Lytechinus pictus: one gene and its partner. The protein of the gene in region 1 purifies or fractionates together with the protein of each later gene. This does not show direct contact. Links are inferred from orthologs where the notes say so. Each region holds a gene or a part of one and is shown on either strand. Other genes may lie near its edges. The genes, in order: protein AATF-like and nucleolar protein 10-like.

Evidence for each region.
Region 2: the proteins of protein AATF-like (region 1) and nucleolar protein 10-like purify together in Homo sapiens (affinity purification with mass spectrometry; 4 studies listed by BioGRID and IntAct, counting the BioPlex papers as one, with this or other methods). This does not show direct contact. The link is inferred for Lytechinus pictus from reciprocal best matches to the Homo sapiens genes AATF and NOL10.

Annotation. Positions count from the first base shown.
Region 1 is NC_087250.1:8,033,357-8,050,360, forward strand, and holds the start of protein AATF-like, read right to left. Parts: upstream 8,764-17,004; 5' UTR 8,745-8,763; coding exon 8,615-8,744; intron 3,658-8,614; coding exon 3,499-3,657; intron 2,519-3,498; coding exon 2,306-2,518; intron 1,676-2,305; coding exon 1,454-1,675; intron 1-1,453. UniProt on the Homo sapiens protein: Part of the small subunit (SSU) processome, first precursor of the small eukaryotic ribosomal subunit.
Region 2 is NC_087261.1:27,014,175-27,031,372, forward strand, and holds the start of nucleolar protein 10-like, read right to left. Parts: upstream 7,153-17,198; 5' UTR 6,715-7,152; coding exon 6,649-6,714; intron 1,087-6,648; coding exon 1,041-1,086; intron 1-1,040.

The DNA of each region.
Region 1 (17,004 bases):
ACGTTTACAAACGCACCTTTTTGTGAGTTTACGATCAGCGTTTAAATGAAAGTAAGCATGGACGCAACCGTGTTTTGGACTAACCACGTTTGGAAACGCTGATTCTGGCCTGAAAAGTGGATGCATAAACACGGCCTTAGAGAAATATTGTCAGCAATTTTCATTTAGTTATAAGCTACTGAAAGCTTTGCACCTGATGGGCTCAAAGCAAAATTATCAATGGGGAGCATTTTCACTGACTATTTGTTGTAAGCTACTGAAATCCTTGCATCTGATTGGCTCATAGCAAAATTATCTGTGGGAAGAAATAAATAGTGATTTTCAATGAGCAGAGGTTGCAAGGTACTGACAGCCCCGGACCTAATTCATATATATTTTTTTCTTCTTCTTTCATTTTCTCTCTTTTTTTTCTCTTCTATTTTTCCTTACTACTTGAAAACGCATACCTGGGTAGGTTGCCCTCAGGTGGGTGTTTTATAAAGCTGTTTGAAAGTTCAGAACGACTTTAAGAACGACTGGTGAATCTTTCTTACGCCTAAATAACCCTCAATGAACATTTAATGGTGAATATCATTTACCACAAGAAAGGATCAGCAGCCATTCTTAAAGTCACTATTGACTTTAATACGAACAGCTGCCCCCATACAGCCCTGATCCTCTAGTGGATGCTACTTGGCAAACAAAAATTTAAGAAAATATGAAAGTAATTTTTTACTAACCTAGCAGTGACTGAACTGCCCCGGACCTAATTTTTTTTCTTCTTCTTCGTCCCTTTTTTAGTTTTTTTCTTTTCTCTTTTGCCTTACTACTTGAAAACACATATCTGGGTTGGTTGCCCCCAGGTGGGCATTTCATAAAGCTATTTATAAGTTCAGAATGACTTTAAGAACGACTGGTGAACCTTTCTTCCGCCTAAATAACCCTCAATGAACATTTAATGGTGAATATCATTTACCACAAGAAAGGATCAGCAGCCATTCTTAAAGTCACTATTGACTTACGAACAGCTGCCCCCATACGGCCCTGACCCTCTAGTGGATGCTATTTGGCAAACAAAATATTATAAGAAAATATGAAAGTAATTTTTTACTAACCTAGCAGTGACTGAACTGTCCCGGACCTAATTTTTTTTTTTTTTTTTTTCTTCTTCTTCGTCCTTTTTTTCGCTTTTCTCTTTTGCCTTACTACTTGAAAATGCATATCTGGGTTGGTCCCCCAGGTGAGTTTTTAAGCTGTTCGTAAGTTCAGAATGACTTTAAGAACGACTGGTGAATCTTTCTTACACCTAAATAACCCTCAATAAACATTTAATGGTGAATATCAGTTACCACATTTACCAGTCGTTCTTAAAGTCGCTTTTAACTTGCCCCCATATGGCCCTGACCCTTTTAGTGGATATTATTTGGCAAAAAAACAATTAATAAAAAAAATATGAAAGTAATTTTTTACTGACCTAGCTGTGACTGAACTGCCTTTCCTTTCTCTATCTCCTCTGATGTATTTATTTGGGAGAAGCCTTCGATACCTCCATCCTCCTCTTCCTCCTCATCTTCATCATCATAATCCTCTTCATCATCATCGTCCTCGTCTTCATCATCATCGTCATTGTCATCCACTTCATCATAATCATCTGAGATCTCCTCATCAACATCCATTGAGACATTCTCTCTTTTACCTGAAAAAAAATCATAGTCAAACTCAAATAGATTTCCACAACTTTTCTTATGATTTAAAATAAATCTGCTTCCATTCCTTAAATTAGCCACAATTTCACATTTTTACCCAATTACATAATTCATTATTGTATTGTGACATACCAATTTAGAGGAAATACTGATTAGCTTCAGTTATTGAAGCAGTTTTTATTTTGGCTAGAAGTATAGTTTACATCAAGGTGCTTTGATTTCATGAATTCACAACAATTATCAATTTTTACCCAGTCACACAATCATCTTCGTCAATATCATTATCACCATTATCATCATCAGGGGGGGGGGGGGGGGTGTTTCATGAAAGTTGTCAGCTTCGACAGTAACCGTGGTAACAGACAGAGACTAGTGCTTCTCAACCAATCAATGACAAGGATTTCAATGAAATAGAGCTGGCAATTTAGTCAGTGCACACAAATTCCATGAAATACCCTCTAGACATATCATCGTCGTTGTCATCATCATCATCATCATCACCATCATCATCACCATCATCATCATCATCATCATCATCATCACCATCATCATCTTCAGCAGCAGCAGCAGCGGCAGTATCATCATCCCCATCCTTTATTTCAAATACTAGTTTACTGTACCTTTCAACTTCCTAGTCATCTCTCTGATCTGTTGAGTCATGAGTTCGTCTTCTTCATCATTATCAACTTCTTGGTCATTGTCATCTTCCTCAGCGTCATCATCATCATCGTCTTGGTCATCGTCATCTTCCTCAGCATCTTCAACATCGTCATCCTCCTCATCTCCATCCAGTTCATCATCTTCTTCACTGATGTATTCATTGTCTCCTTGTCCTACAATAAAAGAGGCACCACATGGTTTATCTGAGCAGGGGTTTTACCAAGATACAGACCCAGTATAACATACAAATTTCTGTAAAAGGGGTGATCATAATCCCCGGTTTAAATGGCGATTCAAATCAGTCTGCCCCCAAGTAGACCTGATGAAAACCTTTTCACTTTTCACCCATTTGTGCAGTAATATAGAAATGCACCCAATGAGAAAGTAGCATTTCCCTTAAAAATATTGAATCTTGAAGCCTGATATGTCTTTGTAAAGCAAGTATAAAAGCAGTCAAAGTTGATCAACTAGGGGGATGTTTCACAGAGAGTTAAGAGTGATTCCAACTAAGTCATGCTTCGTGCTGATCAGCACATGATTAAGTAACGCGCAAACTTATTAATACGCAGTGGCACGCATCCTTGTGGCCTAATTTGACCAACGTGGTGATGCGACACTAATGGGGTGTTGCAAGAAACTTGAGATCAATTGTAAGTCTACTTTCAGTCCCTAAATCAATCATATGTCTTGCAATTAATTGCAAATGGGAGCTGATCTGCTTCTTGAAACATAGAGTGTAATCAGGGCCCCGTCTTATAAAAAGTTGTGATTGATCCGATCAACCACATCTATGGAAGGCCAGCAATGTCAACATCTAAAATGCATAATTATTCAAAACATTTTCTGGATATGATGTATATTCACACATTCATCGTTTTCTTGACAATTCAGTGTGCTTATCTTGGTTCACAAAGTGCATTGTGAAAATTTCCGGTAGAAAAAATTATGACACTGATGGATTTCCATATAGTTGAGATTGATCGGATCAAACGTAACTCTTTGTAATATGGGGCCCAGATCTAGTACACCTAAAATTGATCTCTCAGTTGTAAAATTTGCGACAGAATTTGTTTCATTTGATTGCAAATATTTTCTTACAACACCATCTTAGACATACTTCAATTTTTTGTGAAACCCCACCCAGTTTCCTGACCTGATGACGACCATTGTTTCCTCGAGGTCTTCAGTCCCGTGTATCTCCCATCTTCCTCAATCGATTGATGAGCAGTCTTTCTTCTTAAAACTGAAGGAGCCTTTTTAATAGTATCTTCTTCATCTCCCTCATCAAACTCTGCTACTTTGGCTGTAGTGTCTAGAAATAATAAAACAAATTCAGATATTATTAACGTTTCTATAGTATTATCATCGTTTTAACTTTCAATTCATTGATTATCACTTACAATCTTTCTATTTTTATTTTACTTTTCATTTATTGATCTCTGCAACTTTATCAAGAACAAATTAACAAAGAAAATACAACAAACAGAGTATGTAACAAAATATTTCATTTTTATTCAAGAGTGTCTCAAATTACAAGCAAGACAGTGAACAAAGTTGTATTATCTACATGTATGTATGTAATTAAAAATGTTGCCACGATAAGCTTAGCTTTACTGCATGACAACTTTATTATCACTTTGATGACCGTAAATTCAGTGATTATAAAGACAATTATCTGTGTAACCATGGTAACATAGATCTACCTGTTAAGTAACGTACACACTGTCATGCTGTACGCGTCAAGATTGACAGTCAATCTTATTTCCACAAGCCGGTACATCCAATCACATCACACACACATCAAACTCCAAACACAGAATGACAGATATCGCTTAGCTCACCACAAGAAGGTAGGACCCTAAAATTTACAAAGCTCTATAATTTGTCATGAAAAATACGTAACAATAATCCTCAAGTCCTAAAACATAATAAAAATTACTTAAAAGTTACTGAAATTCCATATAACTTTTGAAAAAGTAGCAAAGTATATCATTTTTATATGCCAAAAATTACATAGAAGAAATTGACCTTGCAACTGTATGTTCCACGGATGCGCGCAAGCACATTAAAGGTATTGTTTAATTTTGTGAGCAGCCGATTTAAAAAATCCTCAAACCAAGATGAATCATGTGTACAAGTGCATGTATTTGAACTAATAAACCCTGAAAACAACCATTATTGAGAATGAAAAGCTAAAACTACAAGGCAAACCCCAATTTTGTAAAGAGGCGTCGCGTCTATAGTACACATAAGTGTATGGGATGAAATTAAGATGGTGTTTTCGGTCACTTTATATTTCAATTTTTGAAGCACTAAATAATTATTTTCGAACGCAATTTTTTCTGGGCTTCGTTTTTGTAACATATCACAGACACAGGTGACAAGTGTGACCTTCTAGCTCAGATTTTTAAAAAGTCAAACCAATGTTAACCAATCACTTTAAGTGACGTAATATACATATTTCGTGTGTAAACATCGTGCCGCACGTCAGGAAAATCCATGAACATCATCATGCAATTGCAAGCCTATATCTAGGACTTCAGTATGCATAGGGCGATTCCCTGCGCAGGTCTATATAAAGCCATGTACATCGAAACTTCAATTCAAGTTTCGATGACGATCCATATTTATGGACCCATTCAAACCCTAAATTCATAAAATGAGAAAAAAAAGTGGTGAAACGTAAAATGAGCTTATCAGATTCTCTGAATCATCGATAGATTTGAGCTTATTTTGAGCGGGTTACGTTGGATTTCGAAGCTAAATTTGGTATCAAAATCTAGCTAAAATCCAGTCGGTTACGATGCCGCTGTATGCATTGTACAGGGGTACAATCACAGAGGGGGAAATTGAGTATTCCTCCGCCCTGCCATAGACTTAAACGTTAGTCGTTACAATTTGCCATAATATTGGCACCAAACTGGGCATCAACGCACTGACAGTAGAGGCGCATGGCCAATATGGGAGACTGTCTCCCATGAGAGAGAATTTGGGTATCCAATTTCAGCGACATTCTCCAGTTTGGGGGACCAATCTCCTTTGTTTACATTTGCTGCAAAAGGATTACCTTGGCGGCAAATAAAAATGTGATAGGCAGATTCCTCATGAAAAATTACTCCTTTTCACCGTCTATTTTAAAAATTCACCGTCTACTTTTGTTTCGATAAGGATATTTGTTGTTATCCACACACAAAACAAATGGGCTTCTGACCTCAGCGAGACAAAATTTTGGGTGGAAAAAATAACGCTTTGGTTGGTGTTGTTTCTTTTGTTCTTTTACAAAGCAAGTCTCCAATATCAGAGATGCCAACTTTTGGAAATCAGAATTAGGGAGGATTTGCAACCGACACCAAATTATGTGCGCGTAGCGCACATCTCGAGCGCGGAGCGCTCGACCCTTGCGGCCGGGGTCGAGGGCCCGCCTTAGGGCCCTGGAAGCTCTGGGTTTCTAGATGCTCTCTGGTGCAATCTGACCCTTATTTTGGAGCATTTCACATGTTTTTAAAAAAACATTGTTCCCACTTTTTTGACATAAAAATAAAAATATCAAATATGCATTTTTACATGTAAAAAAAATGAGGGGACAATAGAAGAAAAGTAGCCTACCTTTTCAACTATAATAATGAGGAATTATCCTCTTTATTATTATTAAAGCGCGGGTAACGTCTTCCTCCTCGCTGGTCCCTTGCTTGGTGAAATAAGTCAACAGGGTATACTAGTGGAGCTCGAAGATCTCGTCTTCGCAATGTCCGTATGCCGTTTGTTCCCTACGTGCTTCCGAACATCATCACGACCTCCGTGCTCAACTTTAATGTCCACGCTGCAAATTGTGCAAAATGCATGGTAGATTCCTCTTTCCGACTTCCGAATACACGGGTACTGGAGACTGTATTCAGTCTTATACTTCTGAGACCATTTCTTGGTCTTTTTTTGTTGATTTTCCGCCATTTCGTGTCAATATCAACCCATCAATACGCCGAAATCACACACCGATATTCCATCGCACCACTCGACAAATCCAGCGGCCGCGAGCGCACACGCCTCGCGAAGCTAGCCGGGCCTACCGGCCTGGTGCACAGTGGATTCCCGTTGGGCATATCACATGCACCAGCTTTTCGCTGCTCCTTATTTGTCTGCCTTTCACACAGAATTTAGTAGCAGCGAAACGTAATGGAGTTACTACATGCTAAAGTTAGCAGACGATACATGTACTTCCAATCCAATTTGATCAATGCAAAAAAAAATCGTAATTTCGGGAGGATAAGGATGGTAATCGTAAGGGCGGGAGTTGGGATGAATTTTCGGGAGCCTCCCGATGAAATCGGGAGGGTTGGCATCTCTGCAATATGAGAGATTGTCTCCCATATTGGCCAGTAGAGGCGCATGGCCAATATTGGAGACTGTCTCCAATGTGGGAGATTATCTCCAATATCAGAGACTTTTGTAAAGAATTTGGGTATCCAACTTCAGAGACAGTCTCCAGTTTTGGAGATCAATTTCCTTTGTTTACATTTGCTGGAAAAGGATTACCTTGGCGGCAAATAAAAATTTGATAAGCAGATTCCTCATGAAAAATTACCCCTTTTCACCGTCTACTTTAAAAATTCACTGTCTACTTTGTTTTGATAAGGATTTCTGTTGTCAATCACACACAAAACAAATGGGCTTCTGACCTCAGTGAGACAAAATTTTGGGTGGAAAAAAAATCATGTTTTTGTTGGTGCTGTTTCTTTTGTTCTTTTACAAAGCAAGTCTCCAATATGGGAGATTGTCTCCCTTATTGGAGAGTCTCCCATATTGGCCGTGCGCCTCTGACTGATAAGCAAACCGACGCGCCTACACAAATTTTGTGCATATCCGCGAGAGCACCACTGATTAGTGCGCTATGGCCGTGCCTACCACAACAAGATTAAGTAACAATTTCAAATAACAAAAAAAAAACATTATCATTAAGATTCAAGAATTCCAAATCACACACACACAGCTCAGCCTCAGCGCAGTTTTGGCTTCGTACTCACTGGCCAACTTCGAGATAGATCTGTTTTTAGTGTTAGAACTAATCCACCAGTCATGCCAGTAATTGATCGCAAAAGTCAAAGCAAGTCTCTTAATCAAATTCGCGATTCTAGCCAGGCGCCCGACACTCATTCAATGGACAAGGTTATGATATAACCTTGTTCTCTGTTATATCTCCATGTGTGGCAAAATATTGAGGGTGGCAATATTTGGCTTATTTTCTCTTTTTCTTTGGGACAAATGCTTGATTTTTTTTACAGAGTTTCCATTACACCTATTCATCATACAACTTGGCTCTGCGCTCTTACGTAAATTTGATTCTTTAAATTATTTTTTTCTGAATTAAAATAGAGATTGAAAAATGAAAATTTTCTTGCCATATTACTTTCCACCAATAGAGGGCGTACACAAAAATATCCCCAAAATTCAAGTTTTTGAACGCTCCGGTGAATACAAAAATTATTCCCAAGTTACTGATGTCATGATTAATGAAAAATAAATTACCTTGTAGGCCTAGTTTCAATCAGTAGAGGCGCTGGTCAGAAAATTGGGATCGTCCCAGTTTACAGGGACTGTCTCAGTTTATAAGGATTTCTTCACACAAGAAATCTAGGAAAGTTCATTCACCTGTCAAGTGCCGACACCAATCAAGTGTGCTAGTCAATGTAAACATATCGGGTTTCATAACAAGATTATTGGAAGACAGTAAGTCATGAAAAATAGACGGTGAACTGGGGGGAATTGAGGTCACTGAATCTATTTTTAGCACTCTCAATTCCCGTAATTGCTGTCTTTGTCCCGTAGGGGGAAGTGAAAAAAAAACGTCCCCATAAACAAGGACAGTCTCAATTTATCAAGACATGATTTGTCTTGGTTTATGAGGATATCCTTGTTTTCTGGGACAATCCCAATTTTTGGACCAGCGCCTCTACTGTCAATCCCTGAAGTACTCCACCAGGAAGGGTAACTGTATGGAAATTAATAATTTTGGTCAAAAAACTGATATTTTAATGATAGATTCCCCACAGGCAGGATGGTTGCAGTGAACAAGTGGCGCCTGCGCCTGAGAGCTCCTGGCCAGTGTCTTCGTTTGCTTGGCTTCGCCTTCGGCTGCTACTCGCGGCGGCGTGGCTCCCCGATAATCTCGGTTACACAAAATGACATGTGTGGGACTGAAATGACACACTGCTCTTTAATGGCAGTATCGTATTATCTATATAGAACAATATTTATTCAGTAAATATCATACTCACTTTCATCCCAGTAATCAATAGGATCATCTACAGGTGTAGGATTATTCAAAGCAAGAATTTGCTCTGAAAGCGTTACTTGTTTGTGTTTCATTTTTCGTAGCTTGTGAAATTTGCTTTCCCACACGAACATGCATTTAAATGCTGAATGTAGCACACGTACGTGTACTGTGCAACTTAGCACCGTATCTTCCAAGAGCAAGTTAGAAATGGAATTATTTCTCATATTCAATAATACTTAAATATAGTTTGTTTTGTATATAATTATAGAACACGGTTGAGGATTGAAACAATTCGGAATGGGTGTCCACTCGAAGCCAACATTTAAACAATTTTTTTTTTTTGGGGGGGGAAGGGGGCAAGATTCGAACAATATTTTCTTGATGGACGTTTAATTTTAACTGTGGTGTGAATATCCTCAACCGCTGCATGGTACCCGGCATTTACCTGTCTAGGTGCGTACAGTATAAAAGGCTTGACCTCATTGGTCAGATCGTGTCATGAGGACGCGCACTATACTGTGTACATTGATCAATAAGTTCGCGCGTTGTAAATCGTGTACACATATTGGCATTTAAGTGCGACTTACGTCATCCCGGCTTAAATCTTTGTGAAACACCCCCTGGGTTCGCACTATGTGGGTATATTTCTTGCTGAAGGAAAACACGCCATGGCTGGGAATAGAACCCACATTCCTCTGATTGAGACGAAAGTCATAACCACTAGACCACACCCCCCACATCATTGTCTCATTTGCATATCACTGTATAGTTGCATCGTGGTTTATGAAAAATAAATGAAATTTCAAAATGTCATTAAATTCTCATTTTACATTTGATTTCGATTGAACTTATTAATGTCATGCTTGGCTGATTTTTCTCTTTTTATTCAAATAAATGTTTTGCTAGAGTCCATGGATTTCCATTTTAATTTAAACCACACCTCCCGCCAAAGTTCCCCGATGGTGAATTGCCAATTCGTCTACTGCCAACTCGTCCACTCAACACATGGTCTACTTTCATTTAGTCTAATGCCATTTCGTCTAACAACCATTTGGTCCAATGACCATTTGTTCCAATCATCACTTCATCTAATCACTATTTCGTCTATAGATGACCATTTCATCTCATAATCAGTTGGTCCAATATCCGTTTTATTTTCATTCATTTTGCACAATTAACACTTGGTCCAATTAGACCAAATGGTATATGGACTAAACAGTTATTGGACCAACTGGTTATTAGACAAAATGGTGAGCCTAGTAGAAGAATTAACAATCATGTGGATAGTGGACGAACTGATGGTAGACCAAATGAGAGTAGACGAGTTGGCAATATTGGACGAACTGGCATTGGACCAATTGGAAATAAACCTCCCCCAAATGCACCATGTTGGGCAACAACAACAAGAACAAAAGAGTCATAACAAAGTAGAAATCACATCAAATATTTATTCCTCATTTTCACATTGTCATCCAACTAGACCGTCATCTGAACGAAATATACATAATATTTACTTGAAAGTATAAACAAAGGGTATAAAATAATTTATAGAGAAACAAAAGTAAGGCTTTCAAATAAAAACATATATGAGTTTTAGTCTGAATATATCTGATGTACAAATCCAAAGGATTGACTTTTTTAATTCTGTTTTTATTATTAACAAATTCAGCCAATTGCAAAATTGACTAAGGATTACTAAATGATTGCAAATCACACAAACACAGGACGGTCAATCCTTTGTCTTAATCACTAAATATTAATAACATTTCTTAAACAAATATCAAATAGTCATCTCAAAATACATATCTGCATTGTCCCTCCACACACACAAACAATGAAAGGAATCCATAAATGCTAAGATATAGAAGTGATCAAATACATGAAAATCATATAAATGGCAAAATGAATAAGCAAGCAGATAAATTGAATGAAATATTTGTCTGATAAAAAAATTGAAAAAATTTTCTGATTTGTTTATTATTCTAAAATTTTCCATGAAAAAGTATTAAATTGCATCATGCATCTTCCCTGATTGTAGGTGTTGTAACCAGTTATTTAAGTTGCTTAATTTCGATCTTCTTTTCAGTTAATACACAATATTTATGAGGCAGTGATTCTCTATATTTGCCCATTCACTGGCGGACTATATATTACCCGAGCTTCAGCTCCAGCTGTTAATATTAACGGTGCCTAGTGCATTGATGGAATTTATCGTGACCAGGTACCCATTCACCAGGGTTGGGCACAATTACAAGGTAATTGATCAATTATGTAAGTAATTACGTTTTATTAGTAATTGTAATTGTATTTGAAATTTTGAAAGGAAAAGTAATTGTAATTGAAAAAAAAATGCAATTGACTTCAATTACTGTCAATTACATTTTATTACTTTACAATAAACTTACTTAATTTATGATTTAAATTCATGACATTTTACATGTCAACTGCTTCAGCATCAAAGAGAGAAAGAGGCAGAATCGGTGCTCTTTAACACATAGTTTCTCTGTAACTTAGAATTATATTGAAATAGGTGGTGCTACGTACAGAATACAAATTAATTTCATTTATGACTTTTATAGAAAATAACTAAATGTAATTGTAATTGACAAAAGCAATTGGCAATTGTAAATGAAAAAAAAGTAATTTAATTGAAAAGTAATTGTATTTGAACATTTCTTCAATTACGTAATTGTTATCGTAATTGTAATTGAAGAAATTGAGCCCAACCCTGCCATGCACCTCACCTGGGTTGAGTGCAGCACAATGTGGAGTCATTTCTTGCTTAAGGAAATTACATGTAAACCATGGCTGGGATCTGAACCCATGAACCTCTGTTTCAAACGCGAGAGTCAGAACCGCCAGACCACAGCTAGTCTGCAAGCAGACTCATATTAGAAATTTTATGACCAATCATACCATGTCTAGATTGAAGACTATATGTCAAGCTCTCTGTCTGTGCCAGCCACAATACATAGTGAATCTAGTCTTACTATTTCAGACGCTATTTAATATGCACTATGCGAATTGCAAAAACCAAGTGTCTGTGCCATGCAGACTATGCCACCGTGGCAGCTGGAATGTTCATGTGCATGTAGAAAGGTATAAGTACAATATACATATTAAAATGTGAAAGCCAGTCATGATAAAACCTTATGCACGAGGTAGAGAAAGAAATAAAAATCGATGAGTTATAGAACATTATATTTCAAATCTTTTCTAGTTTAATACACGTAAGAGAACTTTCATTGCATTTTTTTTCACTTGCAAAGCCTGTCGGTCCATATATGCAAATACGGTAAATGATAAAGAAAGGGTAAAAAAATATAGATAAAAGTACTGCTTAATATCATACACAATACTACAGACACTTTTTCAACAAAAACAAAAAAACACAAGGCAGTGAGGGGGTGAAAAGTGTCACTTCTTTTCTTCCTCTCTAGGGATTGTCCCTACACTGCAAAAACTCTGGTGTTGATTTAACACCAGCCCGGAATCTGTATAAGTCCACACGAGACAAGTGTTAAACAACACCAGTTTGGTTTTGGTCTAACACCAGATACATGTAGGTGTTTATACAACACCAATTAGTATTAAAACAGCATCAGTTTGATTCCAAACTGGTGTTGTTTCAATACTTCTCTGGTGTGGACATATATATTCCGTGCTGGTGTTAAATCAACACCGGAGTTTTTACAATGTACGAAATAGAAACTATAGGCAAGTATGCATTTTAAGACAATGCATGACTACTTTATCTCGGTTGATTCAATACAATTTCTAGCAGTAGGGGAGACCGGGGTTAGTTGGAACATGGGGTAAGTTGAAACATTGTAATTTTCTTTAACGTCTTTAAATAAATTTCTGCAATACTGCCCTCAAGTTATTGTCATTATCAACGGCCATCCACCATATTACAGACAACACATGTGCAACAAGCCTGGTGAAGTTAGAAACAAATTTTTGTTTTTTGACCTTCTGAGTAAATTTTTTCTCGTTCAGAAATGTTTGATTATCTCAGAGAAGTTTACAGATCAAGTTGGCCAGTTTAGGGGTATAATAGACACTTATACCAAGCTACAAAATGAGGTTATTAATATGCCATGGTGAAGTCCCTTTTTTGTGCTGTAAGCTTATAAACGTCAAATGAGCCTCCGGGGTTAGTTGGAACAAAATTGAAGGGGCTAGTTGGAACATGTTCCAACTTACCCCAAACATAATTATGAATGAAAATATTGGATATGAGAAAAAAAAACAAAGTATTTCACACTCTTCTGAACATGTATTGTATACCATGCTTGTTTTGTTTATCAGTTAGGTCTGAGTGTGCATTTAAGGCCTATTGTAGGCACCTAATGCAATGTTAACCCTTATCAAAAGGGGGGGGGGTCAATTTGAGCCCCCCTCAAGAAATTTTGTCACTACGCCGTCGCACGAATTTTTTTTATTACACTGCTAGCTGACTTTTTACTTTCAAGTCTTGTGCATCATTTGAGACCAAATTTGTGATGCCTGTGTTTCAAAATTACGCAACAAAAATTACGCAACAAATTGTATGTGCATGTTCGGACCCAAAATTGTTCAAAAAGGTGATTCCATGTACAAGGTCAATGCAAATTGCGTTTTTCAACCAAAAGTCATAAATGTATGATTATTTTTTACTTTTGCTGGTTCACATAGATTAATTTTATGCTATTTATGATCGCAAAAGACTCCTGACAAAGTCCATCGGAGAAAACAAAGTTCGAAAAAAAAAAAATACATAAGAAATTATATTTTTTGCATTTTTTGGTGGATATTTGTTATAAATGTGAAAATTGATACTCTCACCAAAAATTCTACTAGCTTAATAAATATAGTTTAAGGCAAAAACATACAAAAAAAAACAAATTTCTGGAAAATTTTATATGCTTATTTGCATAATTAATTATGAAAAAAATAAAAACAATCAATTTTTGTCTCATAAATTTGATGCAGAAGTACATGAAATTGCTGATAGTACACTTAATTGCATGTAAACTCAAACGCACCCAAATATGCGGAATTCTACTACACAGTCTGCTTGCGTGAGTGGCTGTATAATAGAAAACATAAAGTTCAACGAATCCACACTTTAATATTTTGAACTTGAATAAGATAAAGCAAATAGGCTAAAACCATGTAATATTACAGTTTTAAGTAGTTTTAGTATAATTCTTAATTGACCATGCAGTGTTCCAACTTACCCCATACCATGTTCCAACTTACCCCGATATGGGGGTAAGTTGGAACGTTTGCGATAGTCTTGTTCAAGGTGGATTTTTTCAGTAACCATAATAGAGTTAAAAATTTTATGGGGTACATTTGAAGCCCTGAGATATATGCTTCAAGCTGATATATTTATTGTTTCTCGAATAAAATCTATTTGGATTTTACAGCCATTTTTGTCAAAAATGTTCCAACTAACCCCGGTCTCCCCTATTTATTAAATAATATCAATACACATCACATATTCAATAATCTGATTACTAAGTTATTAAAACACGCATTCAGATTATTTTCTGGGTTATAAAACACATCACACATGTACATGTATGCAATAATTGAACATAATCAATTACCTATCTGATTATTGAAAATTGCACTCAAATATATATATATATATATATAGTGAAAGAAATGGATGAAGAGAACAATGGTAGGCGTAGCTTAAATCAAGGTTTCCCAGAGCTATCTTCCCTTTGGAAAAATTGGTTATGCCGAAAAAATGTCTCTGCCGGGAATCGAACCCTGGCCCCCATATATATATATATATATATTCAAGCACAAACCATAACTGAACATAATAACCAATCAGTATAATAAAAAAATGCACTTAGATTATTTTCTTCGTTACAAAACACCACACACACACCATAATTGAACCTAATCAATCTCATTATTAAATCATGCGTGCATTCAGATTATATTCTGGGTTCCAATACACATCACACACTCAATAATTGGATAAAAAATACCCGATTATTGAAAATTACACTCAGATGATGCTCTGGTTTATAATAAACATCACACAAAACATTAATTATCTGGCTCTGCTCAGAGACTGCCACGCCCACGATCAATTGGGCAAAATGAATTTTTGGAGGATTTTGATTCCTGATTTCTATTTCAAGCAACAAAATATTTATATTATAAATGATCAACCTGAATATACAATTACAAAATCAATACAGCAGTACTATTATTTTTAATTTGACTTCATTGTCATGAAGTCAAATGTCATTGTTATTTAGAATTCATACATGTAAAGGTTTATTTGCTTTAATAGAAATTGAGTTCAATGTCATTAAAAGTATATGTTATTTTTCCTATTCCAGTAGGTCCATTAGGTTTTGGTAGAAAAGGAAATGCTATAAATTTTTCTTTATTCTTATCAACTTGAATAGGAATTGACCTTAAAACATAATCATATGAATAATTTTACATGCATGTCTTCTATTTATTCTGCTCCATATTGAAGTAGAAAATATATTTCAAAATCTTACAATAATAACCAACCATTTTTTACAGTATAAAAATGACAAGAAGATACATGTATATCTGGCAAACAGATTGAAGTAGAATAATTAAAAAATGGATGACAATTTGGCAAGGCAATCTGAAGTATAATAACATGAGTTGGCGATGGCAAACGGTGTCTTAGAATTAACACCTATTAATACATACGGTACAATATGAAATACATGTATAAACATGATTTCATTCCATTATCTTTGATCACAGGAGCATTTCATCAACATTTTCATCCGACAAAGTTGACAGATCTGAAAACTTTCCTTGATTTTGATTGGCCGAGAAGCACTGTTACTATGGCAACTGTCGGATAAAACATCCACAAATCCTTTCATGAATTGCTCCCCAGGGGTACAACTGTGTGAACCCCACACATGTGATTTTCAAAATTTAGGAGGGGGGGGGGCCATAAATGTTGATATTTTCAGGGTCCTTTTTTATAGAACACATTTCTCAATTATAGCACAAGAACAAGGCCAAAACTTGAATAAAAAAGGGTGTTAAAGTCTCCTGGACCATGAGAAGGGCGAGGGGCATAGCCTTGGTGGTGGTGGGGGGGGGGGATTCCCCAATGCTATTATACATTGGTCTAGACTAGAGTAACCATAACAGAAACAAAGTCTCATTTTATTCTTAACTACAGATATTTTTGTTACAATAGGACAGAATACTTCTTCCAAGCATTAATAAGTCTTCTCAATTTCATGTATGATGCAAAAGCCTACATGTAGGTATTTGTGAAAAACTGCATACCAGGATCCAATGACAGGGGTGATCTGTAAATGTGTTATTACTATTAAGCACTATTTATTATCATCATGATTACTTTTGTTTCTTGTTAAATTCCTCATTACTACATTCTCAGTAATTTGAACGTTCATTGTAACAATGCTCTGCATAGTATGATTTGAATACTTTTCATTTATTTAAATAAATACAGATCGACACATTATAAAAAAATTAATACAATTGATATTATGATTATTTTGTCTTCTTGTTCAATTCCTCATCATGCATTTTCTCAGTAATATGAAAGTTAATTGTAACAATGATTTGCATAGTAAGATTTGAATAAACTTAATTAATATATATATAGCCACACAATCAAACATTGATACAATTAATACCATTATATGATTATCATTTCTTCTTCCTAAATTCCTCATTACATACATTCTCAGTAATACGAACATTCATTGCAACGATACTCTGCACAGCAACATCGGAATGAAACTTATTCAATGATATATTTACAGCCATGCGATCAAATATTGATATAATCAATAGCATTTTGATGATCTTTTTTGTTTTGTGTAACTCCTCATTACGTACATTCTCAGTACCGGTAATATGAATGGCCATTGAAACAATGATCTGTATAGTAAGATTTGACTAAAATTTATTCACTGATATATATAACCAAACACATGATCAAACAGTTACCTAGCTTGAAGGCCACACCTTTTTATCATAGCCAGATATATCCAGTGCATCGCAGAAAAAAAGGAAGCCGCGATTCCCATGTCTTTTTTCTTCTAAGGAAAATGAATTATGATATTTAATTTACATCATCATACAATTCAATTATTCCTCTTCATTTTGATACCTGATATGAGATGAACACTTCACTGACGCATTAATGAGCAAGACGAGTTTGAAATTTTAATGTCAAAATCAGGTTGCGCAGAAAAGTTAAACAAGATTGGTTTAATGATACAATGACCATGCTTATTTGACGATTGGCTTATTAGCATTTCTTTTGTATTCTTTGTTAAGTTATTGTCACTGATCCCTGAAATGAGAGTGGATTCAGATTCACACGCGAAGTTCTGCGCAAATCAC
Region 2 (17,198 bases), on another chromosome or scaffold:
CTTTGTCTTTGTCAAATAAAGGCAGCCAGAGTACATACATGTAGTGAATCTAGTTTCACTACTTCAGACTATGCATTATGCAGTATGTGAAAACCAAAAGCCTGTGCCAAGGCAGCCATGGTACATAGCAAATCTAGTCTCACTTCTTCAGACTTTGCGATATGTACTATGCGGATTGCGAAAACCAGCAGTCTGTGCCTGCAGACTAGAGTGTACCATAGTGAGCTACAGGTAGGTGATGGTTTTCCCTTACAAAATAAAATCATGCGTAAAGGAAAATGATTTATTTTTTACAAAGGGACTTGCAAAGCAAAGAAAAATCTTGCTTGGCTGTAGATAGAATCTGCAGAAATAATGCATTGAGAAAACTGGGCAAATACTCATCCCAGGTCTTACAGAATACAATAATTTACATTTTGTAAAACATTTAATCTGTTTCATGGATAAAAATATAGAAACATAAAAAATCTGATTGGCCATAGAATCTGTAGACAGCAGTTGACACCAAGTGCATTTACACCAGTGATCCAACTTCATGCATGTTGAGTACCGGTAATAAAAAAAAAGCAAATTGCAAATATTCCCATGTTCATCTAAACTACTTACTTTACTTCATTCCTGATAAAGGTAAATGCCAGTCGTGGTAATGATCTCAAAATGAGTTCAAACAGAATCCAATGAAATTACCATCAGAGTGCCAAATGACTCTGGTAGAAAACGTGTAATTGCTGAGAATTTCTGGTATTTTTTTAGGGAATACAACATGTAATACACTGTCCACGTTTGCTTTTCTGTGTTAGTAATCATCAGAATTATCAGTTTTCAGCTAAGCTTTCATGATTTCACAAAGATAAGTTTACGTTAATGTACCAGATGTAGATAAATGATTATGTTGCAACCATTAACCTTGATCTAAAAGACTTTGTCATGAAATAATTGTTTGCCCTAACTACTTTCTTTTCCCTTTAAATATTCAACATATAGGGCAGCGAACATTGTACTACAAACATGTCTATAAATAATATGAAACAGGTGCTTACCATGGTCAGACTTTTGTAGTGCTCTTTTCTTCCTATCAGACAGCCACTGTGGAAAAAGAACAGAGCGTGAGAGAGACTTAGTTAAACTGAAACTTCTTGGCCCAAATTCACGAAGGTTGAACTCAAAGTCATTTCCTGTATAAAATTACGCTTTTAAATGTCCAATGCTGATGCACGTTTGTCACAGTGTGCCAAATTGATGCGAGCTGCTGTGGTCATCTTCACTATTTCATATAAATATAATAAAGACTACCATCAATACAATACTCGTTCCCACTCTAAATTCCATTATCCTGTAGCGTTCAATCAGTCAACCCTTTATTCATTTAAATCCACTGGTCCTCGAATATGGAATTCCCTCCCTTCCAATGTAATTTCTAGCACAAATGTTACTGCATTTAAAACAAAACTCAAAAGTTCACTTGTAATTATGTATGCTAATTAATCACATAATTCATTTCCACACCCTTTTCCTGACCCCCTCTCCCCTGTAGGTTTACCGTCTTATTTCTTATGTACTGTTTGTTATTGTTACCTTTTCACTTTTATGTACGTTTATATATATACATGTATGTATTGGGTGTCCCACTCATCAAGCTTTTGCTTTTAGGGGCACCCTAATCATTTAAACTATACTGTACATTCATGTATGATTTTGTATATATTTTGGTTTGTATATTTATAATTTTTTAAATGATTGAATAAATGAATTGAAAGGAAATGAAATTCATAAGTCCATTGTTTTTAATTAATGGGTTCACTATTTGGGGGGGGGGGTGCACTGTGACATGGGTTCAAGCGATGGTTTTTAAAACCTTTCTGAATTTGAGTCATTGAAATTTGAATCAAGATAGACCTGGAAGCTCAACTGCTGATAGAACATGCATTCTTCCAGTGTATTTGTGTAAATGTTAAAGGGGAATCCAGCCTTGGCCATAAAATGTTGTGTTGGGAAGGAGAAAAATAAATTAAACAGAATGGCAAAAGTTTGAAAGATATCGGACAAGCAATAAGAAAGTTATAGCTGCTTTAAAATTGAGATCACTAATACTATGTAGATTTCAAATTGGCAACTGGGTAAGTAAATTATGACAAGGGGCAAGGACAACTTTCCCATAGGCCATGTACTTTATTATCAGGGATTTGTGGTTTTCTCCTAAGTACCCATTCCCCTGGGGCAGTAATCTAAATATAATCCAGGTAGTATATTGTTTTATGTCCTCATGAAAGAAAAATATAATTTGAAATAAAACTTTTGGGAAAAATTACATTTTAGCCATAATATGTATTGGAGTACATTGAAGAGTAGTCCTCAGTCAGACTGCAGGTCCCAAGAAAGTGGCTTCTTTCATCCAAGTGATATTCATGACTTGAGATGTTTTGCATATTTAATGAGCTTGATGCGGACCAAAACACCTCTTTTCATTCGGTCATTGCTGCTCTAATTATGCATCGAATTTCATGAATTTGGTACCATTGTAAAGAAGAAGAATCATTCTTTCAGGTCATGTGTTTGGATTTATTCAAAGATTTTGTAATATAGGTTAAAATTTTGATCTAAAATATGCTACAAAATAAATATTTTCACCTGACAAAAGCTGCTATTTTCACACTTTATTTTTGTTTGAGCCCAAATGATTTTTATATCATGATAAAGCTGAATATGTATGCTTTGAAATGATATAGGTTTCAAAATAAGAATTGGTTTAATCGGGTCAAGATCACACTTTTCATTTGCCAAGTACATAAAGCAGCTTGAAAACAAGTATACTGCACTCTGATTGGTCAAAAAGACCACACAATGGCAAATTCCAACGGTTCCAGTGCCTGGGTTCGTGGGAAGGTCACACTTCCCATGTGGTAATCTCCTCAAATACCCCGCGCCTGTTGTTCTGTGAACCTTATCCAGCCAATCAGTACTCTGGATTTCATGCAAGTACAAAATTTCAGAAATCTCGTCTTGTACCTTGGTGGGAAAAGTGTGATCTTGACCCGATTAAAAGGTGCCGCATATCAAGAGTGGCATTGTGAGAAAGTACAGAAGTTCAGCTTTATGGTGATATAGATATCATTGAGGCTCAAAATAAAAAGTTTTGCACAATTTGCAAAAGAAAACAGAGGAAGAAAATTCAGTTTTGAGGCACAATTTCAGGCCAGAAATTTACTTATTTAACAAAATGTCGTATACAAAATAAATGACCAATATGAAAGAGTAACTTTTACTCTATCTGATGGTGCAATAATATTTCATTTAACTTGAGGTTAAAACAGGTAAATTCTTAGAGAAAGAAAATCTCATGAATCACGAGATTTTGCAAGGAGGAGGATTCAGCCACGAGATGATTTGGATGAATCTGGCCTTTTTGCTCATTAGCATAGGGACCTGCGGTCTGACTGGTCCTTGCCTTACATCACTTTGACATCCCATATGCAGCCAATTTGAAGTCTCCATGGGTATAGTGATTACCAATATTTACAACTTTTAAAAATTCATAACTTTCTTGTTGTTTGTCCAATATTGTTCAAACTTTCACCTATCAACTTGTCTGATTTTTCTTTTTCTTATAAAAACAAGTTTTTATTTGGGTTGGATTCCCCTTTAAGAGACAGAGAGAATGAGAAAGATATAGATCTATGTCAAGAAGGGGGTAGTGCACACTGAGAACCTTCCCCCGCCCCCCCCCAAAAAAAAACAATCACTTACTAGAGAGATCAGATACTTGAAATCTTATTACCCCCAAAAAATATTGTACCATCGGAGAGCTTGTGAAAAATGATGGTACTTAAATCGACCAATTATTTGAAATATTGAAGATTTGTGTTTAAATTATGAGGGACATACAAAAGTCATCAGTATCTTTGTGACATTTTCTTTATTACTTTATTACCGGATCTACTGGAAAAATGCAATTACTTATGCAGTCGTGTTTCCAGGTCTATCACTGTTGCTATCTCCATCTAACTATTAAAATAATGTGTGCCTGTGTGCTGTGCCAGAGTTACTATTCCCAAGGGTGAGTATATTGCACTGCAGACCAAAACTTGTCTAACTGTGACTTGAATCTGTTCAAAGTTGATGCAGTAACTATCTCTGCCGGCAAGGAGTTCCATTCATTTACAACTCTGGCACTGAAAGTATTTTTTCTAACATCCAGTCTGCTTCTCTTCACATACAATTTGCATGGATGTCCACGTGTCGTCTGAGTTGATGCAGATGCACCCATGGGTACATTACCGCCGCCGTGCACAGGATAACCGCTGGCACGGCACTTGCAATAATTTTTTTATTCTTTTGTAAAAATTAGAAATTTATCTACATTTTACATGAAGTAAGCTTTGGATATGAAACTTACCAAACGATATGAAGCCAATTTCAATTCCTCTCTGTCTTTCTGGTACTTTATATCGATGATTTTACTTGATGTCGAAGCAGGCATGCGGCCAATTCGCTGGTTTTCTCTATACGCACAGAGAGGGCGCGCGATATTATTTAATAAACTTGCTTGTTTGCGTCGTTTACGTCAGATCAGCTGTACTGCTGGTTGCGTTCTAGGCGCTCCGCATTTTTTTCGCTGTTCAGCGTTATTTTATGATGTAGCGCTATCAGCGATTATACGTGAGATGCCTGTTGATTTTTTTGGTACAATTTCCTATTATGCGCTGGCGACTTAAATCTAGACTGTTCGATAAGAAAAATTCGCATTTCGATTGTTGTTTGCGTAATTTCCACCGCAGTATTAAGGATCGGACGGAGTATCTTGGCTGAGATTTGAAGGTAAGCGTTTAAAATCTAGGGACAGTGATTTTCCGTTTCAAAAAATTGCCTTTTCCGTTTCAGCATGTCAGAAAACGGAAATTCCGTTCTCCCATAGACTTTGTACACACGGAAAAGTGACAATTCCGTTTACACATTTACATGCACACTCGCACTGGTCAAAATTTGTATCTGCTACTGTACCAACAACACAATAAAATCCGTTCTAATCGGATCTATGCGGGTGAATAAAATATTTTAACACACCCATTTTGCATGCATACATCCCCACCTTTCATATTATTAGCATTATTTCACGGTGAAATGATATTTCATCGATAATTTTGGGGGTTTTTGGACATCGTTATCATCAGTCAACGTCTTTTCCCAATCCGCCATCTTGGATTTTAAGTCCACGATATCGTGCTGTTACATCTTCAAACGTAGAGGGCAGCAACACACAACTGTGTACATGTAGCTGAACGATACATGTGTGCATGTGAAGCCCAACCCGGCCGGCCGGGTACGGGTACGGTGCGGGGTACAATCGAGTGTGCTGATGTCGAGTGCAGTCACGATGTGTGAATTGTCATGATAGTAGCGAAGTGAGATCGTGTTTTCTGGGTTTTTTTGGCCATTTAATATTCTCATTTTGTTGTGATTTTGGAGTAATTTCTGTTGCTATTCTGTGTATTTTGAGGGAAAATACGTTTTCCGTGATTTTCCGTTTGAAATGCCATTTTCCGTTTCAAAAGGCCCTTTCCGTGAATTCCGTCCGTTTTCCGCGATCGCGGAAAATCACTGTCCCTAAAAATCCCTTTTTATGAATATTTTGGAGCATATTTTAAAAATTAATTCAATGAACAGATTTAGATGAATAAATTTAGTATATTGTGAAGATTTTGGCGTGTGTCATTCTCTCACATTCGTGTGATGAATGAAAACGTCAAAATTCATTATGAAATGACATGCGTTGTGCGAGGTTAGTACAACTAACCTCGCATGTTTTTTATGTGAGTGCCCTTGGGTGCTCTTTTCCAAATATTGCGATCAGGAACAGCTGTATTTCAGCTTTGGCAGTAGAGGCGCACGGCCAATATTGGAGACTGTCTCCAATGTGGGAGATTATCTCCAATATCAGAGACTTTTGTAAAGAATTTGGCCCATTTTGGGTATCCAATTTCAGAGACAGTCTCCAGTTTTGGAGTCCAATTTCCTTTGTTTACATTTGCTGCAAAAGGATTACCTTGGCGGCAAATAAAAATGTGATAAGCAGATTCTTCATGAAAAATTACCCCTTTTCACCGTCTTCTTTTGTTTTGATAAGGAATTTTGTTGAATGTTGTCAATCACACACAAAACAAATGGGCTTCTGACCTCAGGCTCAGCCTCAGTGAGACAAAATTTTGGGTGGAAAAAATCATGCTTTTGTTGGTGTTGTTTCTTTTGTCCTTTTGCAAAGCAAGTCTCCAATGTGGGAGATTGTCTCCCCTATTGGAGAGAGAGAGTCTCCCATATTGGCCGTGCGCCTCTACTGTTTGGTCTCGATGTCGTTCGAATCCTCAGACATCACTTCGCGGATCGCTTGGCCTTGGCCTTGGATTCGCGTGCGCCGTAAAGTCTGAAGCCGAGTTATGCGAAACTGCATTAGGCCTAGTGCCCAGTAATTAATGCAAATTTCTAACGAGAAGCTGTTAGGCCTAACTAAGTATTTAAGTTAAATACTTACATGTACTGATGTAAGTTAGGCTTTTAAATTTAAGTAAAAAACGATTATCATGTAACCCTACAAAAAATGATATAAGTGGGACTGAACTGAACAACCACGCAAAAGAATATTTTGTAAGATCTTACCTCTGGTAAGCTTTTACCAGTGCTTAGGTTGTAAACCTTGACATTATTTGCAGAAGAAACTTGCATCCCTTTTACGAACACTAACGTCGAATATAAGAATCAGGATTTTCGTTCACAAACACGACTGTCTAAAGTTTGCAGCTTCCACTGTCCAGGTTGCAGATGGTAGACCACGTGCCTAATGACGTCAACCATTATCTACTGAATATTCATCAGCGCTGGTAGCCGGTCTCTAGCTCTGCATGCTAGGAGGGGGGGGGGGGGGGGAGTGTGTATTATTGATCCAGTCGTAGAGTACAGTATGTCTTGTCTTGGAGAAAGTCCCCAAATCCAAAAGTGGGGATTATTAGAATCACACCTACCAGAACGCATGAAAATCACTTCCTTTCTCCAGAACACAGTCCCCAACTCTCGCACAACTCTGTGGCAAAATGATAACACACACAAATGAAACACACACTGTATATAAACCAAACACTAGGGTTCTCTCCCTATTATATACTCGTGATCCAGTCCCCACTCAATGGGAAATCCAGTTTGATTTTCACGGCGGTGGGGACAGTTCCAACAGTATAGTATACTCGTGATCCAGTCCCCACTCAATGGGAAATCCAGTTTGATTTTCACGGCGGTGGGGATAGCTCCAACAGTATTCATACTCGTGATACCGTCCCCTCACAACATAAAATCGTGCTCGTTCAACAAGGGGATGGGGACAGTTTCCTGATGCATTGTGACAAGGATAAAACATCTTAGGGTATGGCTGCGGAAGCTGAGGGAGGGGGGGGGGGGGGGGGGGGACTTCAGCCCCTACCTTTTTCCAAAACATTGTGAATCCTTCTGAACTAAAATCCTATAGAAATGCCTTCATATATAGCATAAAAGTGCAGTCTTTTTTCCAGACCCGGTTAATTAAAAATTGTAATATAAGTTCAAAGTCTTTTTTTCCAGACCCGGTTGTTAAAATTATAATATAAGTTCAAAGTCTTTTTCCAGACCCACTTTTACAAATCATTTCTCAAAGAGTAAAAAAGTAATAAAGATCCCCAATCTCTTATTATTGTTAAATAACATGGAAATATAGCGTAGTCTTTCCTCCAGACCCAGTTATAAAAATTGTTAAAAACACAACAAAACAAAAACCCTGCAATCTTATCAACATTGAATAGCACGGAAATATGGTGTAGTCTTTGCTCCAGTTATTTCAAAATAGGAAATCACGAGAAACAATAAAAACAAAAAACAACATTAATTAACCAAGGCCCCCCTAATATTATTGATGTAGAATAACGTTGTTGTTGTTGTTGTTGTATTATTATTTATAATTTTGGAATAACAGGGTTTGGAGAAAAGACTAAACTCGATTTTTAATTTTTATTCCACTGGAATATCATTATGGTATCTTAGTTTGGACTTATATGATAATTTTTGAAACAACCGGGTCTGGAAAAAAAGACTTTGGACTTATATTATAATTTTTAATTAACCGGGTCTGGAAAAAAAGACTTTGAATTTATATTACAATTTTTAATTAACCGGGTCTGGAAAAAAGACTGCACTTTTATGCTATATATGAAGGCATTTCTATAGGATTTTAGTTCAGAAGGATTCACAATGTTTTGGAAAAAGGTAGGGGCTGAAGTCCCCCCCCCCCCTCCCTCAGCTTCCGCAGCCATACCCTAAGATGTTTTATCCTTGTCACAATACATCAGGAAACTGTCCCCATCCCCTTGTTGAACGAGCACGATTTTATGTTGTGAGGGGACGGTATCACGAGTATGAATACTGTTGGAGCTATCCCCACCGCCGTGAAAATCAAACTGGATTTCCCATTGAGTGGGGACTGGATCACGAGTATACTATACTGTTGGAACTGTCCCCACCGCCGTGAAAATCAAACTGGATTTCCCATTGAGTGGGGACTGGATCACGAGTATATAATAGGGAGAGGACCCTAGTGTTTATATATACAGTGTGTGTTTCATTTGTGTGTGTTATCATTTTGCCACAGAGTTGTGCGAGAGTTGGGGACTGTGTTCTGGAGAAAGGAAGTGATTTTCATGTAGGTGTGATTCTAATAATCCCCACTTTTGGATTTGGGGACTATATCACGATCATGCCGAAACGAGAAAGGATAGGCTATACATGACAGGGGCCGCGGAACAGTTTTCAAAGTGGGGGGGGGGGGGGGGCTTACCATGCAAAAAATCACAATCATATGGTCATTTTTACGTTTTTGTACACGGTTTTGGAAAAAAGTGGGGGGGGGGGGGTGTTGCACCCACAAATGTAATAACGCCCACAAATGTAATAACGCCCACAAATGTAATAACACTTTACCCACAAATGTAATAACGCCCACAAATGTAATAACACTTTACCCACAAATGTAATAATTTCACCCACAAATGTAATAATGCACTTTACCCACAAATGTAATAATTTTTGATCGCCCACAAATGTAATAATGACTTTACCCACAAATGTAATAAATTTGAAGGGATTTTTGGCGAGTCCGTTCTAAACTAAAATCCTATAGTAATGCGTTCATATAGCACAAAAGTGCAAAGTCTTTTTTTCCAAACCCGGTTAATTGAACATTATAGTACAAGTCCAAAGTCTTTTTCCAGACCCGGTTGTTTCAAAATTATAATATACGTCCAAAGTCTTTTTTCAGACCCGGTTAATTCAAAAATTATAATATACGTCCAAAGTCTTTTTTCAGACCCGGTTGTTTCAAAAATTAGAATATAAGTCCAAAGTCTTTTTTCCAGACCCGGTTGATTCAAAAATGATAATATACGTCCAAAGTCTTATTTCCAAACCCGGTTGTTTCAAAAATTGTAATATAAATCCAAAGTCTTTTTTCCAGACCCGGTTGTTTAAAAAATTATCATATAAGTCCAAAGTCTTTTTTTCAGACCCGGTTGTTAAAAAAATTATAATATAAGTCCAAAGTCTTTTTTCCAGACCCGGTTGTTTCAAAAATTATAATATACTTCCAAAGTCTTTTTTCCAGACCCAGTTGTTTCAAAAATTATAATATAAGTCCAAAGTCTTTTTTCAGACCCGGTTAATTAAAAAATTATACTGCAAGTCCAAAGTCTTTTTTTCAGACCCGGTTGTTTCAAAAATTTTAATATAAGTCCAAAGTCTTTTTCCAGACCCGTTTATTTCAAAAATTATAATATAAGTCCATACTAAGATACAATAATGATATTCCAGTGGAATAAAAATGAGAATCGAGCTTAGTCTTTTCTCCAGACCCAGTTGATTAAAACTAGTGGACTTAATGTCTTTGTTGTTTTTTCAACTTATACGGCATATATTTTGAATATATGCGCTAAGAGAATCAAGCGTAGTCTTTTCTCCAGACCCGGTTACTTAAAACTAAAAACTAAACCCTATAGAAATGCGTTCATATAGCACAAAAGTGCAAAGTCTTTTTTCCAGACCCGGATAATTAAACAATTACAATATAAGTCCAAAGTCTTTCCTCCAGACCCGGGTATTAAAAAATGAATTTATAAACTTCAAATCTAAGACCAATTTTCCAAAGTTTCACCCAGTAAAAAAGTATGTCTTTTCCCCACACCCAGTTTTTTTTTTCAATGATACTAAGACCCCTACAAAACATTGTAATAATGCATGGGTAAAGCAAACATCCTTTCTCCAGACTTGGTTATTATTTGAAAAAAATAAAATAGTTTTTACAAATATTCTAAAACGAATACCCAATAATCTAATTACTGTGGAATTACATGAAGACCGATTGTCGAAGATCGACTTTCCTCCAGACGCAATTATTTCAAGAATAAAAAATCAATAAAACCCAACCCCCAAAACGAATCTTAGAACCAAAAATCCTCCAAATTAAGACCATGCATGTAGAAAAGCACATGTTTAGAGCGTTGTCTTTATTCCAGACCCAGTAGTTTAAAAATGATTTAAACAATCTTAAAAACAAAAGACTTTGTCATATTCTTATTCTTGTGGAATAACACGAGTATTATGCTTAGTCATTCGTCTAGACCCGGTTATTTAAAAGATAAACAAATATTGAAAAAAAATCACAGCTAAGACCAATCTTCAAAATTAAAACCCACTTAAAATGCTTGGGCTTAGAGTGTTGTCTTTACCCCTCACCCAGTTCTCTTTAAAATACAAATTAAGCGAAACATTAATCTTAAAACTTAGACCCCAGCATCTTCCAAACTATAAAACCCTTGTGATAACGCATACTTAATTTGACCAGACCAGTTTATTAAAAAAAAAACAGAACAAAAAAATTTAACCCTCTTCCAGCCTAACATCCTGTAATAAATGATGTAATTAAACATTCATTTTGTCTTCCAGGCAAAGAAATTTATTATTAAAAAAACAACATCAAAACTTAGAGCCCGGGGAGCATTTCATGAAAGGAGTTGTCTGACGTTTTATCCGACACTGGTAGCACTGCTTCTTAGCCAATCAACATCAAGAACAGTTGTCAGATCTGACAACTTGTCGGACATAAATGTTGATGAAATACTCCCCCAATCATCTTATTCATGTTGAACAGGCACAAGAATATGATTGAGTCTTAGTTATGAGGATTTCATTTATCTTATTTTTAAAATGACAAGGTCTGGAATAAAGAAAACTCTCTAAACTTTTATTTATTGAAGGTTCTTAGTTTGAAGGATAGTTGGGCCTTAGATTCTGTTATTCTTTTTTAATGATTTTGGTTATTTTGAAATAATTGGGTCTGGAGGAAAGACTACATCATATTTCCATGTTATTCAATGTTGATAAGATTGCAGGGTCTTTGTTTTGTTGTTGTGTTTTAAATGACTTTTATAACTGGGTCTGGAGGAAAGACTACGCTATATTTCCATGTTTTTCATCATAAAGAGGATCGTGGGTCTTTGTTTGCTTTTCTTTATTAATACTAATTTATTATTATCATTCATCATTTCTTATTTGAAAGATCTTGGTCTGGAGGAAAGACTACGCTATATTTCCATGTAATTTCAACATAAATAGGATCGTGGGTCCTTGTTTGCTTTTTTTATTATTACTAATTTATTATTATTATTATTCATTTTGTTATTTGAAAGATTTGGGTCTGGATGAAAGACTACGCTATATTTCCATGTTATTTAATATTTACAAGAGAGTTGGGGACTTTGTTACTTATCTACCAGTTTTAATTAACTGGGTCTGGAGAAAAGACTAAGCTCGATTCTCATTTTATTCCACTAGAATATCATTATCGTATCTTAGTTTGGACTTATAATTATTTTGAAACTACCGGGTCTGGAAAAAAGACTTTGGACGTATTTTATAATTTTTGAAACAACCGGGTCTGGAAAAAAGACTTTGGACGTATATTATAATTTTTTTACCACTTGACTGCTATAGGCTGTAATGCGCACTGGCCACCCTGGTGCTACTGAATGGGACTAACAAGTTAGATCTATTTGGGACTACAACCGACAGCAACTTGGGAGGAAAATTATAAATAATTACATCACTTTCCTCATCACTATTTCCAATATCCATACAAAAAAATCACCTTCCCCTTCTGACACAGATCTTTCACTAAATTTATTACTCCTATCGTCTAAACTTTCCTTAAAAATCCTTCTGATTCACTTCTCCACTGCGAGTCGCCATTTTGAACTGAGCGCCGTACACTATCACTAGCTATGGAAAAGTGAATACAAACATTTATAAATCACTGCAAAAGTTTCGATAACTTTTGTGGAATAGCGCCATCTGGTGACCATAGTCTGAAATTTGATATACATCCGCTGTTTTCATCGTAGGGGTATTAACAGCGCGGTGCTGAGGCCTCAAACAGAAGATAGGTCAAGCACGTAATATTACGTGCCCCGCACAGATTGTACACTCGCCCAGCACGTAATATTACGTGCTACGCAGTCAAGTGGTTAAACAACCGGGTCTGGAAAAAAGACTTTGGACTTGCATTATAATTTTTTAATTAACCGGGTCTGAAAAAAGACTTTGGACGTATATTATAATTTTTGAAACTACCGGGTCTGGAAAAAAGACTTTGGACGTATTTTATAATTTTTGAAACAACCGGGTCTGGAAAAAAGACTTTGGACGTATATTATAATTTTTTAAACAACCGGGTCTGGAAAAAAGACTTTGGACTTGCATTATAATTTTTTAATTAACCGGGTCTGAAAAAAGACTTTGGACGTATATTATAATTTTTGAAACAACCGGGTCTGGAAAAAAGACTTTGGACTGATATTATATTGTTTGAAACGACCGGGTCTGAAAAAAAAGACTTTGGACTCGCATTATAATTTTTTAATTAACCGGGTCTGAAAAAAGACTTTGGACGTATATTATAATTTTTTAAACAACCGGGTCTGGAAAAAAGACTTTGGACTTATATTATATTGTTTGAAACGACCGGGTCTGAAAAAAAAGACTTTGGACTCGCATTATAATTTTTGACACAACTGGGTCTGGAAAAAAGACTTTGGACGTATATTATAATTTTTGAATTAACCGGGTCTGGAAAAAAGACTTTGGACGTATATTATAATTTTTTAATTAACCGGGTCTGGAAAAAAGACTTTGGACGTATATTATAATTTTTGAAACAACCGGGTCTGGAATAAAGACTTTGGACTTCTATTATAATGTTTGAAACGACCGGGTCTGAAAAAAAAGACTTTGGACATATATTATAATTTTTGAAACAACCGGGTCTGGAAAAAAGACTTTGGACGTATTTTATAATTTTTGAAACAACCGGGTCTGGAAAAAAGACTTTGGACGTATATTATAATTTTTTAAACAACCGGGTCTGGAAAAAAGACTTTGGACTTGCATTATAATTTTTTAATTAACCGGGTCTGAAAAAAGACTTTGGACGTATATTATAATTTTTGAAACTACCGGGTCTGGAAAAAAGACTTTGGACGTATTTTATAATTTTTGAAACAACCGGGTCTGGAAAAAAGACTTTGGACGTATATTATAATTTTTTAAACAACCGGGTCTGGAAAAAAGACTTTGGACTTGCATTATAATTTTTTAATTAACCGGGTCTGAAAAAAGACTTTGGACGTATATTATAATTTTTGAAACAACCGGGTCTGGAAAAAAGACTTTGGACTGATATTATATTGTTTGAAACGACCGGATCTGAAAAAAAAGACTTTGGACTCGCATTATAATTTTTTAATTAACCGGGTCTGAAAAAAGACTTTGGACGTATATTATAATTTTTTAAACAACCGGGTCTGGAAAAAAGACTTTGGACTTATATTATATTGTTTGAAACGACCGGGTCTGAAAAAAAAGACTTTGGACTCGCATTATAATTTTTGACACAACTGGGTCTGGAAAAAAGACTTTGGACGTATATTATAATTTTTGAATTAACCGGGTCTGGAAAAAAGACTTTGGACGTATATTATAATTTTTTAATTAACCGGGTCTGGAAAAAAGACTTTGGACGTATATTATAATTTTTGAAACAACCGGGTCTGGAATAAAGACTTTGGACTTCTATTATAATGTTTGAAACGACCGGGTCTGAAAAAAAAGACTTTGGACATATATTATAATTTTTGAAACAACCGGGTCTGGAAAAAAGACTTTGGACTTGCATTATAATTTTTGAATTAGCCGGGTCTGGAAAAAAGACTTTGGACGTATATTATAATTTTGAAACAACCGGGTCTGGAAAAAGACTTTGGAATTGTACTATAATGTTTTATTAACCAGGTCTGGAAAAAAGACTTTGCACTTTTGTGCTATATGAACGCATTACTATAGGATTTTAGTTTAGAACAGATTCGCCAAAAATCCCTTCAAATTTATTACATTTGTGGGTAAAGTCATTATTACATTTGTGGGCGATCAAAAATTATTACATTTGTGGGTAAAGTGCATTATTACATTTGTGGGTGAAATTATTACATTTGTGGGTAAAGTGTTATTACATTTGTGGGCGTTATTACATTTGTGGGTAAAGTGTTATTACATTTGTGGGCGTTATTACATTTGTGGGCGATTATTACATTTGTGGGTGTAACAGGGGGGCTGAAGCCCCGGCCAGCCCCCCCCCCCCCCCGCTTCCGCGGCCCCTGCATGATACTCTAAACGTCATTCTGAAAGGTAAAGTCTCCCCCAGAAAATTGCTGATTTGAATCGATCGAGAAAAATCCTACAAGCACAACGTACGCTGAAAATTTCTTGAAAATCGGATGTAAAAATAAAAAAAGTTACTATATAGCAGGGGCGTAATAGGGGTCGGGGGCCAGGGGGGGGGGGGATAGCCAAAAATGTCCTGGTCATATCATGGTATGAACGGGCAGTGGTGTTTATTTAGGGGGCACAATTTACATAGCAATGTGGGGGGGGGGGGAACAAATAAACAAATCGCCAGAGAGCGAAGCGAGCCCGAATTTTTTTTTCCATTATACAAAGTAAATAACATATTTCATTGCTTTCCATTCATGATTTTCATTACGTTACCTCCTATATTTACTTATATTTCCCCTCGGATGTGGAACCAAGACCCCCCCCCCCCTCCCCCTGAACGCCAGAAATTAGGGTCCATACAGGGATCGAGCTGTTATAGAGCCCTTTATCTCTGTTATGATCAAGGTAAAAGTCAATGCTCAGTACCATCTATTGGAACCTCCGACATCCAGGATGACAGCAAGTGTTTTGTCAAAATATGCTAATTCAGGGGGCGGAGAGAGGTAAATACCATTAAACAATGGATTATAGTCAACCCCACATGATGTCGTAACTATTCTGGTATGCATAAACAGATAGCCTGACCCCACAACCATATGGTTAGACACCACAACCAGGTAAAAAAAACTAATAAAAAACAAACAATAAAATGAAGGAGATATGGCTAAAATTGCGACGTGCATAATTACATGTATAATACAGGCATGTGATGTTTATAATTTATGTTACATCGGGTTACATCATGTATATCAGCTGACAAGCAATCAAATTCACATGACAGATGTCATATATAATTCTAAACCTCAGGAGCTCACTTCTATGACACTATAGTTTATAAACAGGCCTTGTTATATGCCATGGTGGTCAATGCATGGACATAAATTATGTAGTGTAATATGTACAGTACTGTCAATGTAGCCCCTATGGATAAAAAGCATTTTTTAATTCAATAATAAGATATCTGCAAAGCCCAATTTAGAGGAATAAAAGCAAAATTAATAGCTATATGAAACTGCTTGCTCGTGTTCAACTCGTATCGTCTAATATATTTAAGAACCACAAGATGATGAAACCTACTTTTTGGCTGAAAAGGGGGTCTAAAAATTTGTAAATTTCAGGTAAAAATCACCTCTTAATCTAAAAATAATGGTTTAAAACAACTTATTTTTTTGGGAAAAAACAAATTGCCTGCCCCCCCCCCAAAAAAAAAAACACATTTGGATAGACACCAAAACCAGAGAAAAAGACCACCAAATAAAAAAGTTGTGGCCAAAAACGTGATTTTGGAGGTTGGGGCGGCCATTTGGGATTTTGGCCCGGCAAACTTTTTTCTGGGACCCGAATTGAAAAAAATATTGTAATTTCATGTTGAGATAAGATAAAAGGAAAACAAAAAATCATTATTTTATTTGGCATTTTAATACAAACAAATCAGAGACAAGATCCGATGATCAAAATTTTACATGATAAAGAAAATAAGACCTGGATGAGAGTTGGAGAGGCTGCCTGGGTATGGAAAAGGCTAGCTTAAAGGTAAATGCTAGTTTTGGTAACGATATCAAAATGAGTTCGTACAGAATCCAATGAAATGACCACCAAAGTGTCTGTTTGTATAAATAAAACGCATGTGCCAAAGGATTCTGGAAGAAATTGTGTAATTGCTGAGAAATCAGCAAATAAGCACAGGATTCGGGCCCGGGGGGGCCACTTCCATTCACGAGTGGATACCATGCGCGACCATGGGGTCTCGAAAAGCACCCTAAACACGTAATTTCCATATTCTGAAAATGCGCCCCTTAACAAGTATTGGCGTGTGAAACTCTACCCTTAACAAGTATTGGTAACAAAATGATACTCTTGGCAAATGTTCCCTGAAATGAACCCCTAAACAAGTACAGGAATGTTTTATTGTTACAGGTCCTTCGGTCGTCGACTTTACCTTATTTTGTTTAGTACGACCCCACCTTCTACACCTCGCGCAAATCGGACTCTAAACACGAAGTGTTGGGGCAAAAAGGACATCCTTTATAAAACATTTTAATTTTGTTTTATCATCCCCGCGAATTCGACCCTAAACACGTAATTTTCCTAGCGAAATAGATACCCTTTTTTCATTATTTTTGTGTTTTTAACACCCTTATCACGTTACGTACGTAACGTGCCCTATCGTGAAAAAGACATCCTTTTTACGTGTTTTTTTGGTCGCGCATGGTATCCACTCGTCAATGTAAGTGGCCCCCCCGGGGATTCGGGAAGAGCGTCGGGCCCGACGCTCAAAGCAATAATTATACACTGTCCCACGTGCGCTTATCTGT